Macaca fascicularis: one gene and its partner. The protein of the gene in region 2 purifies or fractionates together with the protein of the main gene of each other region. This does not show direct contact. Links are inferred from orthologs where the notes say so. Each region holds a gene or a part of one and is shown on either strand. Other genes may lie near its edges.

Region 1 (5,611 bases), about 9.0 Mb from region 2:
GTTGGCCAGGCTGGTCTCAAACTCCTGACCTCAGGTGATCCGCCTGCCTTGGCCTCCCAAAGCGCTGAGATTACAGGCGTGAGCCACCGTACTCAGCTGGAACTTTAAATTTTATTTAACTTTATTTTAAATTTAGATAGTGCAATCTAGAACAAAAGCCAGCAAATTTTTTTAGTAAAGGGACTGACTAAATATTTCTGCTTCCGCAAGCCATATGGTCTCCGTCACGACTCAACTCTGTGGCAGAGCAAGATCGGTTGTAGATGACAGTGAAACAATTGAGCATGGCTTCTTTGTTGCAATAAAACTTTATTATAAAGACAGGCAGTGAGTCTGGGAGCTGCGGTTTGCAGAAGCTGGTCTAGATGGCTATGCCCATAGAAGCTTCTAGAAACTCATGGCCAGTCCTGCAGCTAGACCCATTTTACAGACGAGAAAACCAGGGTGACCAACCAGTGAGCCAAGTGGTAGGAATAGGGTCAATCGTGTCCTACTTAGATTCAACGTCTATTGCCACTTCCAAAAATACAGCCAGTGAGACCTTCTTTATAAAAACATAATTTTTAGAAAAAAAATCAGTGAGATGTCATGGTGTCAGCCTATAATCCCAGGTACTTGGGGAGGCTGAGGTGGGAGGATCACTTGAGCCTGGGAGGTGGAGGCTGCAGCCTGGGTGAGAGAGGAAGACCCTGTCTGTCAAAAAAAAAAAAACAGATGGCCAGGTGCAGTGACTCACGCCTGTAATCCCAGCACTCTGGGAGGCTGAGGCGGGCGGATCACGAGGTCAGGAGATTGAGACCATCCTGGCTAACACAGTGAAACCCCGTCTCTACTAAAAAATACAAAAAATTAGCCGGGCATGGTGGTGGGTGCCTGTAGTCCCAGCTACTCGGGAGGCTGAGGCAGGAGAATGGTGCAAACCCGGGAGGCGGAGTTTGCAGTGAGCAGAAATAGCACCACTGCACTCCAGCCTGGGTGACAGAGCGAGACTCTGTCTCAAAAAAAAAAAAACCAGACAAAATCCAATTAACAGCCAGCATTTACCAGCCCCTGCCGTGTGCTCAGCTCCTTTCCCCACACGTTTTGTGAGCTGATATTGAGAGAAAATATGGTTTGCATAAGGAAACTGAGGCTGGACTCAGTCACATTAACAGTGACTATCAGTCACAAGGGACATACGCTCAAAGCTCAGCATTTATCTGCTGGATGCTGGGACACAGTAGGTGCTCAATAAATGTGGGTGTGTGCCAAGGTAACACGACCCCCCTTAGTCCTTGGAGAAGCCTTGAAGGGGCACTTTCACCAACTGGCTTCAGAGACTTGGGACACAGGGCTGGGGGAGACACATGGCCCGCTGGAAAGGCATGGGACGTGGGGGTTACTCACGGTGGGGTCCATCTTGCTGATGGCGTCTTGCAGCATCTGCACGTCCTTTACATCGAAGCACTTCTGGAGTTCCTGGGGGTATAGAAGGGCTGGGGTCAGGGGCTGGGTCCCTGTGCCCTGGGGGGTCCCGCTCAGGGTCCTCCTGCCGCCCGCCTGGGCTGGGGAGCCGCACCTCAGGGAGGGACTCGTAGACCTCGACAGGGTCCAGGCCGCCGGGGCCAAGCCGCTTCTTGCGCTCCTCCTCCTCATACTCCTTCATGGCCTTCTCAATGCGCAGCTTGGCACGGCCCCGCACACGCTCCTTGAAGGCTTCTAGCTCGTCGTTGAAGCCCTCCATGTACTGGCGATCGGCTGTCTATGGGGGTCGGGCAGTGCTCACTAGACTTGGCCCAGTGCTCAGGAGGGACTGGGGGCCCAGGACCCTCCAGCCACAGCTCCTCAGAGGTGCCCCAGGGCTCCCTAAGTCTGTTCCTGACTTACATAAAGGGCTTCCCAAGGCCTGGGCTCCCCTGCCAGGGACCTCATCTGGCATTTGCTAAAGACCACCTCCTTGGGAGCCCTGCTCTACTGCAGATCCGAGACACTCGTGTCCTCAGTGTCCCTGCATGGGCACCTCTAACTCAACACGGCCACCTCCCAGCCTGCCTTGTCCTTGGTCTCCCCAGTCTTGGTAAGGGTACCCCTGTTCCTCCAGGTGCGCAAGTTAAAAACCCGAGAGGCTGGCAGGCGCCTGTAATGCCAGCTACTTGGGAGGCTGAGGCATGAGAGTTGCTTGAACCCAGGAGGCAGGGGTTGTAGTGAGCTGAGATCACGCCATTGCACTCCAGCCTTGGTGATAGCAAGACTGGGTCTCAAAAACAAAAAAAAGCCCAGAGCCCTAGAGGCACCCTCACCTCTGTCCTTTACCCACATATCCACATGGGGACCTCCAGCACATCCTAGTGCTCCCATTTTTTTTTGTAATGCAGTTTTGCTCTGTCACCCAGGCTGGAGTGCAGTGGAACACCACAGCTCACAAATTCCTGAGCTCAAGTGGTCCTCCTGCTTCAGCCTCCCAAAGACTTGGACTATAGGACTCAGTCACCAAGCCTGGCCTGACCTCCACTTTTAAAGTCTGGCAGCATCCGCCCACTTCTCTCCCCCTCCTTGGCCCCGCCCTCTCCTGATCTAGGATTCGGTGATTGGAGGGGCTTGAGTCCCAGTGGACAGGAGTCGGCCTTACCCAGAGCGCTGTGGGCTGGTTCCCTGGGGAGGGGGCCTCCAGCCACCTGGCAGCTCAGGGGACCCTACCTTAATCTTAGTGAAGAACTGCCGGAAGCAGGCCCGGGGGTCCACCTTCAGGCTCTTGGCCAGCTCCAGGATAAACTGCATGACGATTGTCTGGTGGGCCACCTGCTCCATGAGTGCACATTTCTGCCAGGGAGAACAGGCACAGTGTTACCAAGTGGCGGCCTCAGGGCAGCACCTTTTCACAGCCCTGGGGAAAGCTCCACTCACCTCCTCCACCTCTAGGTCAATGCACCAGATGACCAGGTAATTGGCCGTCTCCTCGCACACCAGGTGGACATTGTCTGACAGGTACTTTTGGCTGTCATCCCAGCGGCGGAGCATGCCTGTGGGAAGATGCTGGCAAGGTGCTGGAGGGCCCTGGAGGCAAAGGGCCTGCCCCGACCTTGCCCCCCATAACCTCACACGCCCCACTCACCAAAGTGCTTGATCTGTTTCTCGTACTTTTCCACGAAAGTCTTGTGTTTCTGCTCCCTCACCTCCTCTGAGTCCTCCTCTGTCTTCTCGGGCTTGGTGTTGACCATGCTCTGTGGTAGGGTGAGAGGGGGAGTGGGCTGGGGCAAGGCTGCGGAGCGCCTCGAGTGCGGCCGGGCGGGCCGTGGCCGCAGCGCCCATCCCATCCACGGCGGAGGTGGTGACGAAGCCATGAGCATCAAGGTGGCGGGAGCGTGGGCATGGGCCTTGGGGCAGATCAGAGGAGGGGACCGGTGGGGTGTTTCATCCGCCCGGCCCTCCAAGCCTGTCCCCCCTCCCACGTGGCCCCCGTCCGTCCCTCAGCTCTCTGCCCCACACCACACTCTTCAACTACACCGCCGCGGTCCTCCCCTGACCAGGCATTGGGTGCGCATGCGTCCTGGCTGCATACTCGCTGGCTGCGCAAGTGCACTGCCCGCCCCGCCCGCCCCGCACACCTTGCTGAAGCCGTCTTTGCTGAGCGTGTCCACGTTCCAGGGCATGCTCTTCTCCTTCTTGCGCATCTCTTCCAGCTTCTGCTCCCAGCTCCGCTCCTCTTTGCGCAGCTGCTGTGCCTCGGCCTGCAGCCGCTCCAGCTCTGCCTTGCCGCCCTCAGCCACCTCCAGCTCCTTCAGCTTCCTCTGGCATTCGGCCACCTTGCGCTTGCACTCGCGGCAGCCCCTGTCCAGTTCCTCCTTCTCCTTCTGGAACTGCTCCATGCGCTCCACCCGGGCCTGCGGGCAGGGGCGGCCTATCAACTTTGGGGAGCGGCCTGTCCCTTACCCCCAGCCCCATACCCAATCCCCGCACCAGAGATGGCCCCGGGAAAAAGTATGCCTCCACCTCCCGTGCCCTGGTCTCCCAGCTTCCGCCCCTGCCCCCACAGGTGCCGACGCACACCCAAGTGGGGTCCGGTCCCTCCGTCCTCCGCTCAGAACCCTGGCGGCTCCCATCTCACTCAGAGCAGAGTCCAGGTTGTCACCACAGCCTACGTAGGCCCTACACAATCTGCCCCAGCACCTCCCCTGCTAACTCTTCCTTCCAGCCACACTGGCCCCTCACTTTTCTCACCTTTTCTTGAGACCATTTTTTTTTCTTTTAGAAAAAAAACAAAAAAACAGGGTCTCACTCTGTCGCCCAGGTCAGAGTGCAGTGGCCCAATGACGACTTACTGAAGCCTCGACCTCCCTGGGCTCAGGCAATCCTCCCACCTCGCCTCCCGAGTAGCTGGGACTACAGGTGTGCACCACCACGCCCAGCTAATTTTTGTATTTGCAGTAAAGATGGGGTTTCGCCATGTTGCCCAGACGGGTCTTGAAGTCCTGGGTTCAAGCGACTCTTCCGCCTTGGCCTCCCAAAGTGCTGGGACCACAGGCAGGAGCCACTCTGCTCTGCAGAGCCTGCTTTTTTCTTGAACTTCAAGGCCTTCACACTGGCTGTTCCAACTACTTGGAATGATTTTCCCTCAGATCCCCCCACAGCTGACTCTATGGCACCCGCACCATCTGGGCTCCATGTTGCCTTAGCGAGGACCCCTTCCCTAACCACCTTCCTATTGATGGCAACCTCCCGCTGCCCCCGTCTGGAATTCCCTGCCTCAACACCAGCCACCACTCACATCATATGACAATTATTTATCACGTTTTTGGGTACTGCCCCGCCCCGCTCTCTAAATATGGGAATGTGTTTGCCATTTTGTCTCCAGAACCAGGAACTTGGCCTGGCGCAAAGCAGGGGCTCAGCAAATGCTTGTTTTTTTGTTTTTATTTTGTTTGGTTTTCTTTGAACAAGGTCTTGTTGTCATGCAGACTAGAGTGCAGTGGTGCGATCATGGTTCACTGCAGCCTTGACCTCCCAGGCTCAAGAGATCCTCCTGCCTCAACCTCCCAACTAGCTAGGACTAAAGGTGCACAGAAACCACCATGCCCAGCTATTGTTTTTTTTTTGTTTTTTTTTTAGATGGAGTCGCCCAGGCTGGAGTGCAGTGGTACGATCTTGGCTCACTGCAACCTCTGCCTCCCGTTTTCAAGAGATTTTCCTGCCTCAGCCTTCTGAGTAGCTGGGATTACAGGCATGCGCCACCACACCAGGGTAATTTTATATTTTTAGTAGAGACCAGGTTTCTCCATGTTGGTCAGGCTGATCTGGAACTCCTGACCTCAAGTGATCCACCCACCTTGGCCTCCCAAATTACTGGGATTACAGGCATGAGCCACTGTACCAGGGCCCCTTCTAGATGTTTCTTTGTTCCACCCATAACCTTGCTCCAGGATCACTGCCTAGGCCCCCTTAGCTCTGTCTCCAGCCCAGCATGCCCTCCTGAGCCCCAGCTTGGTGTCTACCTGCTTCCCGCTCACCCAAGCCCCAGATGTCACTCCCCAGGCATTCCTTTCTCCTGATAACAATGCCTCATCTCCTCAGGCTCCTGGTCCCCACCTCACTCCCTGCCTCGCTCAGACCTCCATCTGGGTCCCCATCGGATCAT
Region 2 (6,197 bases):
AGGAGTGAGCCACCAAACCCCACCCAGAGTCCCTCCTTGAACACCTCCCAGCTCTACCTGGCATTTAGCACAACTTACAAGTATTTCATTTCCACGTCATTCTTTTCTTTTACTTGACTTTTCAATTGTCTTGTTTCCGACAGGGATGGGCCCAAGTCTCTTCGCCATGAGCTCTGGGGCCTGGCAGACAGTAGGTGCTCAAGAAATGCATGATTACATGAATTAACAGAGAAGGGAATGAGCTAGTGAGTCCAGCTGAATCCTGCCCAGCCCTGCCCTGACTCCCCCCCTCACCCCCTCTTCCCGAGAGGAAAAGGACCCACAGCAGGGGAGATCTTCCCCTACCCCCGCAACCTCACTATTGCTAGATCTGGGTTCAAATCACAGCTGTGAGCCGGGTGCACTGGCTCATGCCTGTAATTCCAGCACTTTGGGGAGGTCAAGGCAGGTGGATCACTTGAGGTCAGGAGTTTGAGACCAGCCTGGCCAACATGGTGAAACCCTGTCTCTACTAAAAATACAAAAAACTAGCCAGGCGTGGTGGCCTGCGCCTGTAGTCTCAGCTACTCAGGAGGCAGAGGCACGAGAATTGTTTGAACCGGGTAGAGGCTGCAGTGAGCCAAGATTGTGCCATTCCAGCCTGGGCAACAAAGAGAGACCCTGTTTAAAAAAAAAAAAAAAATCACAGCTGTGTCTTTTTTGTTTGTTGTTTGAGACGGAGTTTTGCTCTTGTTGCCCAGGGTGGAGTGCAGTGGCATGATCTCGGCTCACTGCAACCTCCACCTCCCGGGTTCAAGCGATTCTTCTGCCTTAGCCTCTGAGTAGCTGAGATTACAGGTGCCTGCCCCATGCCCAGCTATTTTTTTTTTTTTTTTTTTTTTTGTAGTTTTAGTAGAGATGAGGTTTCACTATGTTGGCCAGGCTGGTCTGGAACTCCTGCCCTCAGGTGATCCACCCGCCTTGGATTACAAGCGTTAGCCACCACGCCGGACTTTTTCTTTTTCTTTTTCTTTAGAGACAGGGTCGGGGGCGCAGTGGCTCAGACCTGTAATCCCAACACTTTGAGAGGCCGAGGCAGGTGGATCAGGAGGTCAGGAGTTCAAGACTAGTCTGGCCAAGATGGTGAAACCTCATCTCTACTAAAAATACAAAAATTAGCCGGGTGTTTGGGCACGTGCCTGTAGTCCCAGCTACTTGGGAGGCTAAGGTAAGAGAATCGCTTGAACCCGGGAGGAGGAGGTTGCAGTGAGCCAAGATCGTGCCACTGTACTCCAGCCTGGGCGACAGAGCGAGACTGTCTCAAAAAAACAAAACAAAACAAAACAAAAAAACAAGAGATAAGGTATCAGCTGTGATGCCCAGGCTGTTTTCGAATTCCTGAACTCAAGTGATCTGCCTGCCTCGGACTCGCAAAGTGTTGGGGTCACAGGCGTAAGCCACCGTGCCCAGCCCTTGGCTGTGTCTTTTGGCAAGTGACATCCATGTGGGCCTCAGTTTCCTTTTCTATAAACTCCTACTTTACGTGGAGACAGGTGACCCTCGCCCCACCCCTGGCTGTTCCATCCTTAAAAGATGTGGACGGGGAGGCGCTGGGGTCCACTTGCTTCCCCACCCATCATCACAGCACCATCACGACCCACGAACAACAGAGCTCCTTCGAGCTGGCCCATACTGGGGAGCCCAAAAGGTCCAGGTTCGAATCCTCCCGACTCCCTTTTGGGTCTTGGAGCAATAACCTCAACAAGCCTGACTAAAATAGGGTACCCGCGCCCGCCTTCCCCGGACGGAGCGATCCCTTCTCCACTGGTCTGCAAATGGGGCCACCGTTAGAGCCAGGTGCGAGGAACAGCGAGTTTATTGCAGGTTCCAACCGGGAACCCGGCACCCATCGTTGGTTGGGAAGGTACGCCCTCCGCGCAGAGGCTGAGCTTGTTCCGCGCAGGCGCAATGCTTCCGTCCCCTCTGGTCTCGCCTCTTTCGGGGCCTGGTCTGGGAAATCACGGATGCGCATGCGCCTCCAGCTCTCGGGATGGCGGAGGACGTGGATTCCGAACAGGGGCAACTGCCGACTTCCCCGTGGGAAGGAAGGGAGGGAAGCGGCAGGGAGAAGGCGCATGCGCAGTAGCACGCGGCAGCTTCGCATGTTCCCGCTAAACTCGCCTCTTGCGCGTGCGCCGCGCTGGCCCAGCGCCCTCGGGGGCAGGAATGGCTGGAACCCCGGGTTCTAGCCAGAGTCCCCGGTGCGCAGCCAGCAGTTGCGCGCTACCTGGCCCGCCGAGGGCCTGGCGGACGGGCTGAACTGCAGCAGCTCGGCGATCAGGGCCTTGCAGCGCTCGGAGAGCTCGAGGCCTTCGGGGTAGAGCACGCCGCGCTTCTGGCGCCGGGGCAGGCCGGCAATGTCCGAGTCGTCGAAGGGCATGCACCCGGTGACCATGACGTAGAGCACGACGCCCATGCTCCACACATCATACTTCTTGGGGTCGTAGGGTATGCCCAGGAGCACCTCGGGTGACGCGTAGGCGGCTGAGCCGCAGTAGGTGGTGCTCAGGTCTGGGTAGCCATGGGCCTGGCGGCCGAACCCGAAGTCGGTGAGCTTGACGCGGCGCTCGTCCGGGCTCAGCAGCACGTTTTCGCACTTGAGGTCGCGGTGCACCAGGTGGTGATCGTGCAGGTAGCGCACGGCGCCGGCGATCTGCGCGAAGAGGTCGCGCGCCTGCACTCCGGGGATGCGCCCGTTGCGCTGCACGGCTTGCAGCAGGTCGGTGGCAGCCGCTTCCATCACGATGTACAGTTTCCCGTTGCACACCTCGATGAACTCGAAGACGTGCACGATGTGCGGGTGTCGCACGCCCCGCAGGATGGACAGCTCTCGCGGCAGGAACTTGTTGACGAAGTCCGGGGGCGCTCGCCGCCGGTCCACCACCTTGATGGCCACGGTACCCTTGTACTTCTTGGATGTGGCCACCTTCACCTTGGAGTAGCTGCCCTCTCCAATTGTGCGGCCCAGCTTATAACCGAGTTCGCTCAGAAGTTTGTCTCCCGACATGGTGGCGCCTGGGGCGCACGGGGAGCAGGAGGCGGCTGCTGTCGGGGGGCGGCCGGACTCCAATCTCGGGTCTAAGCCATGGCGCTTGGCACCTACACCCCCGCACCCCCATGTGCCCACTGCCAGGCATTGGCCGCTGTTGTGCCTTTTATTGCCCCGTAACAATTTTTGCCTTGTGAAGTGACCACGGGCGTCACTCCGCCTTAGGGTGGGGGTCCAGGACCCCGCCCCGGGGCCACCCTAGCCTCCCTGCTTTGTGACTCATAATCACCTTGAATGGTCAGTTTCCGATGAGAGGCCACTAGCAAGGGATACCCACCACCACCAGGGAGCAGCATCCGTTCCGGGGATTGGGGTGAGTCCGAATTCGAGCAGCAGCTGCTCCCCAACATCACGTACCCAGCCCGTGACTACGTGGAGCCCTGGGCTTCCCGTAGAGTCCCTAGACGGAGCGAAAACGGGAAAAGGGGCCTTAACTGGGGCCCCTGGCTCCCTCGGGCGCTCGGAGTTTCTGACTGGCCTGCGCAACACCCCAGAGGCAAGGCGAACGCGAGGGCCTTTAATGCAAGAACCAAGGCAATTCACACCCTGTCTGGGAGAAAGAGGGAATAAAGACTCCTCAGCTACAGCCTGGCAGCGTATTCCGACCCAGGGTCCGCCGCCGGAGCTTTCCTGCGCTGTCGCGTAGTTACACTAGTGTCCGAGGCTTTCCAGGGCTGCGGCGAGCCAACTCGAGTGCTTCCGCCACACTCATCATGGCGGTGGCAGTATGTCACTTCCGCCTGGGACCGGAAGTGTGGAATACTGCCAGCATGGAGATGCCGAAGGTGAAGCAGGACATGCCCCCGCCGGGGGGCTATGGGCCCATCGACTACAAACGAAACTTGCCGCGTCGAGGACTGTCGGGTCAGTATCACTCTGGGCCGGGGTCTCAGAGTGGGTACTCGGGGCTCGGGGGCGGGGTTCCGGGGACACAAGCGGGCCTCAGTTTCCCTGGCGGTGAGACCGGAGGCTGAGCTCGAGAATCCTCCATAGCTTCTGTAATAACGTCAAGTGCTGCAGTTTGTTGAGCGCTTTCCCAGCTCCGCTTCCTTCTCGTAACAGCCCAGGAAATCGGTCCCTCTAATTATTTACATTTTACAGTGGGTTAAACTGAGGCATAGTCTGCGCTCTGGCCCTCAGCCACCCTTGGATTTCTCAGATGGGGAAACTGAGGCCCAAAAGAGGCCACGGCTCCCCAAGGCAAGGCTGAGGCCGCAACCTGGAACTTGGAGGGAATTTACAAGATGTTCTATAAAGTGGTTCCCTGCAGGCAGCCCCCGCCTCCATGGTGTCCCAGGAATCCGTATTCTTAAAGTTTTCAAATTGTTTTCATTTATGTATTTTTTTTTTGAGACGGAGTTTTGGTCTTGTTGCCCAGACCGGAGTGCAATGGCGCCATCTCGGCTCACCGCAACCTCTGCCTCCTGGGTTCAAGCAATTCTCTTGCCTCAGCCTCCCGAGTAGCTGGGATTACAGGCATGTGCCACCACGCCTGGCTAATTTTGTATTTTTAGTAGAGATGGGGTTTCTCCACGTTGGTCAGGGTGGTCTCCAACTCCCAACCTCAGATGATCGGCCCACCTCGGCCTCCCAAAGTGGTAGGATTACAGGCGTGAGCCACCATGCCCGTCGTAAAGTTTTCAAATGTTTTAAGTAACACGTTAAATTTTGTTATGGGGCTCAACACAGAAAAATGAAAAAGACTTGAAAGGCACCCATACTCAGTCCCCAGGGTTAATGGACAAATACAAACTTTTAAACGTAATTTAAGGGTGAATACATACATTCCTTTTTTTTTTTTTTTTTTTTTTTTTTTTTTTTTTTAAAGACAGGGTATGGTTCTGTTGCCCAGGCTGGAGTGATCTCTTGGCAACCTCTGCCTCCTGGGCTCAAGCCATCTTCCCACCTCAGCCTCCCAAGCAGCTGGGATTATAAGCCTGCGCCCAGCTTTCTGTATTTTCTGTAGAGATGGGGTCTTGCCATCTTGCGCAGGCTGGTCTTGAACTCCTGGGCTCAAGTGATCCACCCACCTCAGCTTTCCAAAGTTTTCATGCCTATGGGACTATAGGCATGAGCCACCGGGCTCAGCAGAATGCATGTCTCTTAACAAATTAAACTTTACATTTAAATTACATGTTATGCACATTATGCCTCAATTTTAACACATACAAAAAATGAACATAGTAATTAAAAATGTAATAATTCAGATAGTAGAAAAGTCAATGTGAGGTGAAAAGCCCTCCCCAGCTGCTTCTTGGTTTTTTGTCTTTTTTTGTTTTTGTTTTTTTTATAAGATGGAGTCTCGGTCTGTTGCCCAGGCTGGAGTGCAGTGGCGTGATCTCGGTTCACTGCAAGCTCCGCCTCCCGGGTTCATGCCTCAGCCTCCCAAGTAACTGGGACTACAGGTGCCCGCCACCACGCCTGGCTAATTTTTTGTATTTTTAGTAGAGATGGGGTTTCATCGTGTGAGCCAGGATGGTCTCAATCTCCTGACCTGGTGATCCGCCCGCCTTGGCCTCCCAAAGTGCTGAGATTACAGGCGTGAGCCATGGCTCCCGGCGGTTTTTAATTTTTTATTTCTACTTTTTGTAGAGACAAGGGTGCAGCTATGTTGACCAGGCTGGTCTCAAACTCCTGGGCTCAAGTGATCCTCCAGCCTCAGCCTCCCAAAGTGCTGGAATTACAGGCTTGAGCCACCGTGGCCAGCCTCCTCTTGTTTTTCTTGTATCCAAGAACTGAGATTGGCAGACTTTTTCTTTTTTTTTTTTTTTGAGATGGAGTCTCGCTCTGTTGCCCAGGCTGGAGTGCAGTGGCGCGATCTCGGCTCACTGCAAGCTCCGCCTCCCGGGTTCACGCCATTCTCCTGCCTCAGCCTCCCAAGTAGCTGGTACTATAGGCGCCTGCCGCCACGCCTGGCTAATTTTTTGCATTTTTAGTAGAGACGGGGTTTCACCATGTTAGCCAGGATGGTCTCGATCTCCTGACCTCATGATCCACCCGCCTTGGTCTCCCAAAGTGCTGGGATTACAGGCGTGAGCCACAGCGCCTGGCCGGCAGACTTTTTCTATAAAAGGGACAGATGACAAGTATTCTGGATTTGGCTGGCCAG

What was found. Proteins that work in one complex are often made in the same cells at the same time.
Region 1: the proteins of TSSK6 (region 2) and CDC37 purify together in Homo sapiens (affinity purification with mass spectrometry; 4 studies listed by BioGRID and IntAct, with this or other methods). This does not show direct contact. The link is inferred for Macaca fascicularis from reciprocal best matches to the Homo sapiens genes TSSK6 and CDC37.

What each region holds. Positions count from the first base shown.
Region 1 is NC_088393.1:10,957,254-10,962,864, forward strand, and holds part of CDC37 (hsp90 co-chaperone Cdc37), read right to left. Parts: intron 3,861-5,611; coding exon 3,585-3,860; intron 3,354-3,584; coding exon 3,092-3,353; intron 3,000-3,091; coding exon 2,884-2,999; intron 2,800-2,883; coding exon 2,677-2,799; intron 1,742-2,676; coding exon 1,559-1,741; intron 1,459-1,558; coding exon 1,387-1,458; intron 1-1,386. UniProt on the Homo sapiens protein: Co-chaperone that binds to numerous kinases and promotes their interaction with the Hsp90 complex, resulting in stabilization and promotion of their activity. Inhibits HSP90AA1 ATPase activity.
Region 2 is NC_088393.1:19,951,246-19,957,442, forward strand, and holds TSSK6 (testis-specific serine/threonine-protein kinase 6), read right to left. Parts: upstream 3,775-6,197; 5' UTR 3,047-3,774; coding exon 2,225-3,046; 3' UTR 1,464-2,224; downstream 1-1,463. Other genes in the region: NDUFA13 (NADH dehydrogenase [ubiquinone] 1 alpha subcomplex subunit 13), read left to right, coding at 3,859-3,952. UniProt on the Homo sapiens protein: Serine/threonine-protein kinase component of the sperm flagellar doublet microtubules. May act as a regulator of sperm motility by mediating phosphorylation of sperm doublet microtubule proteins.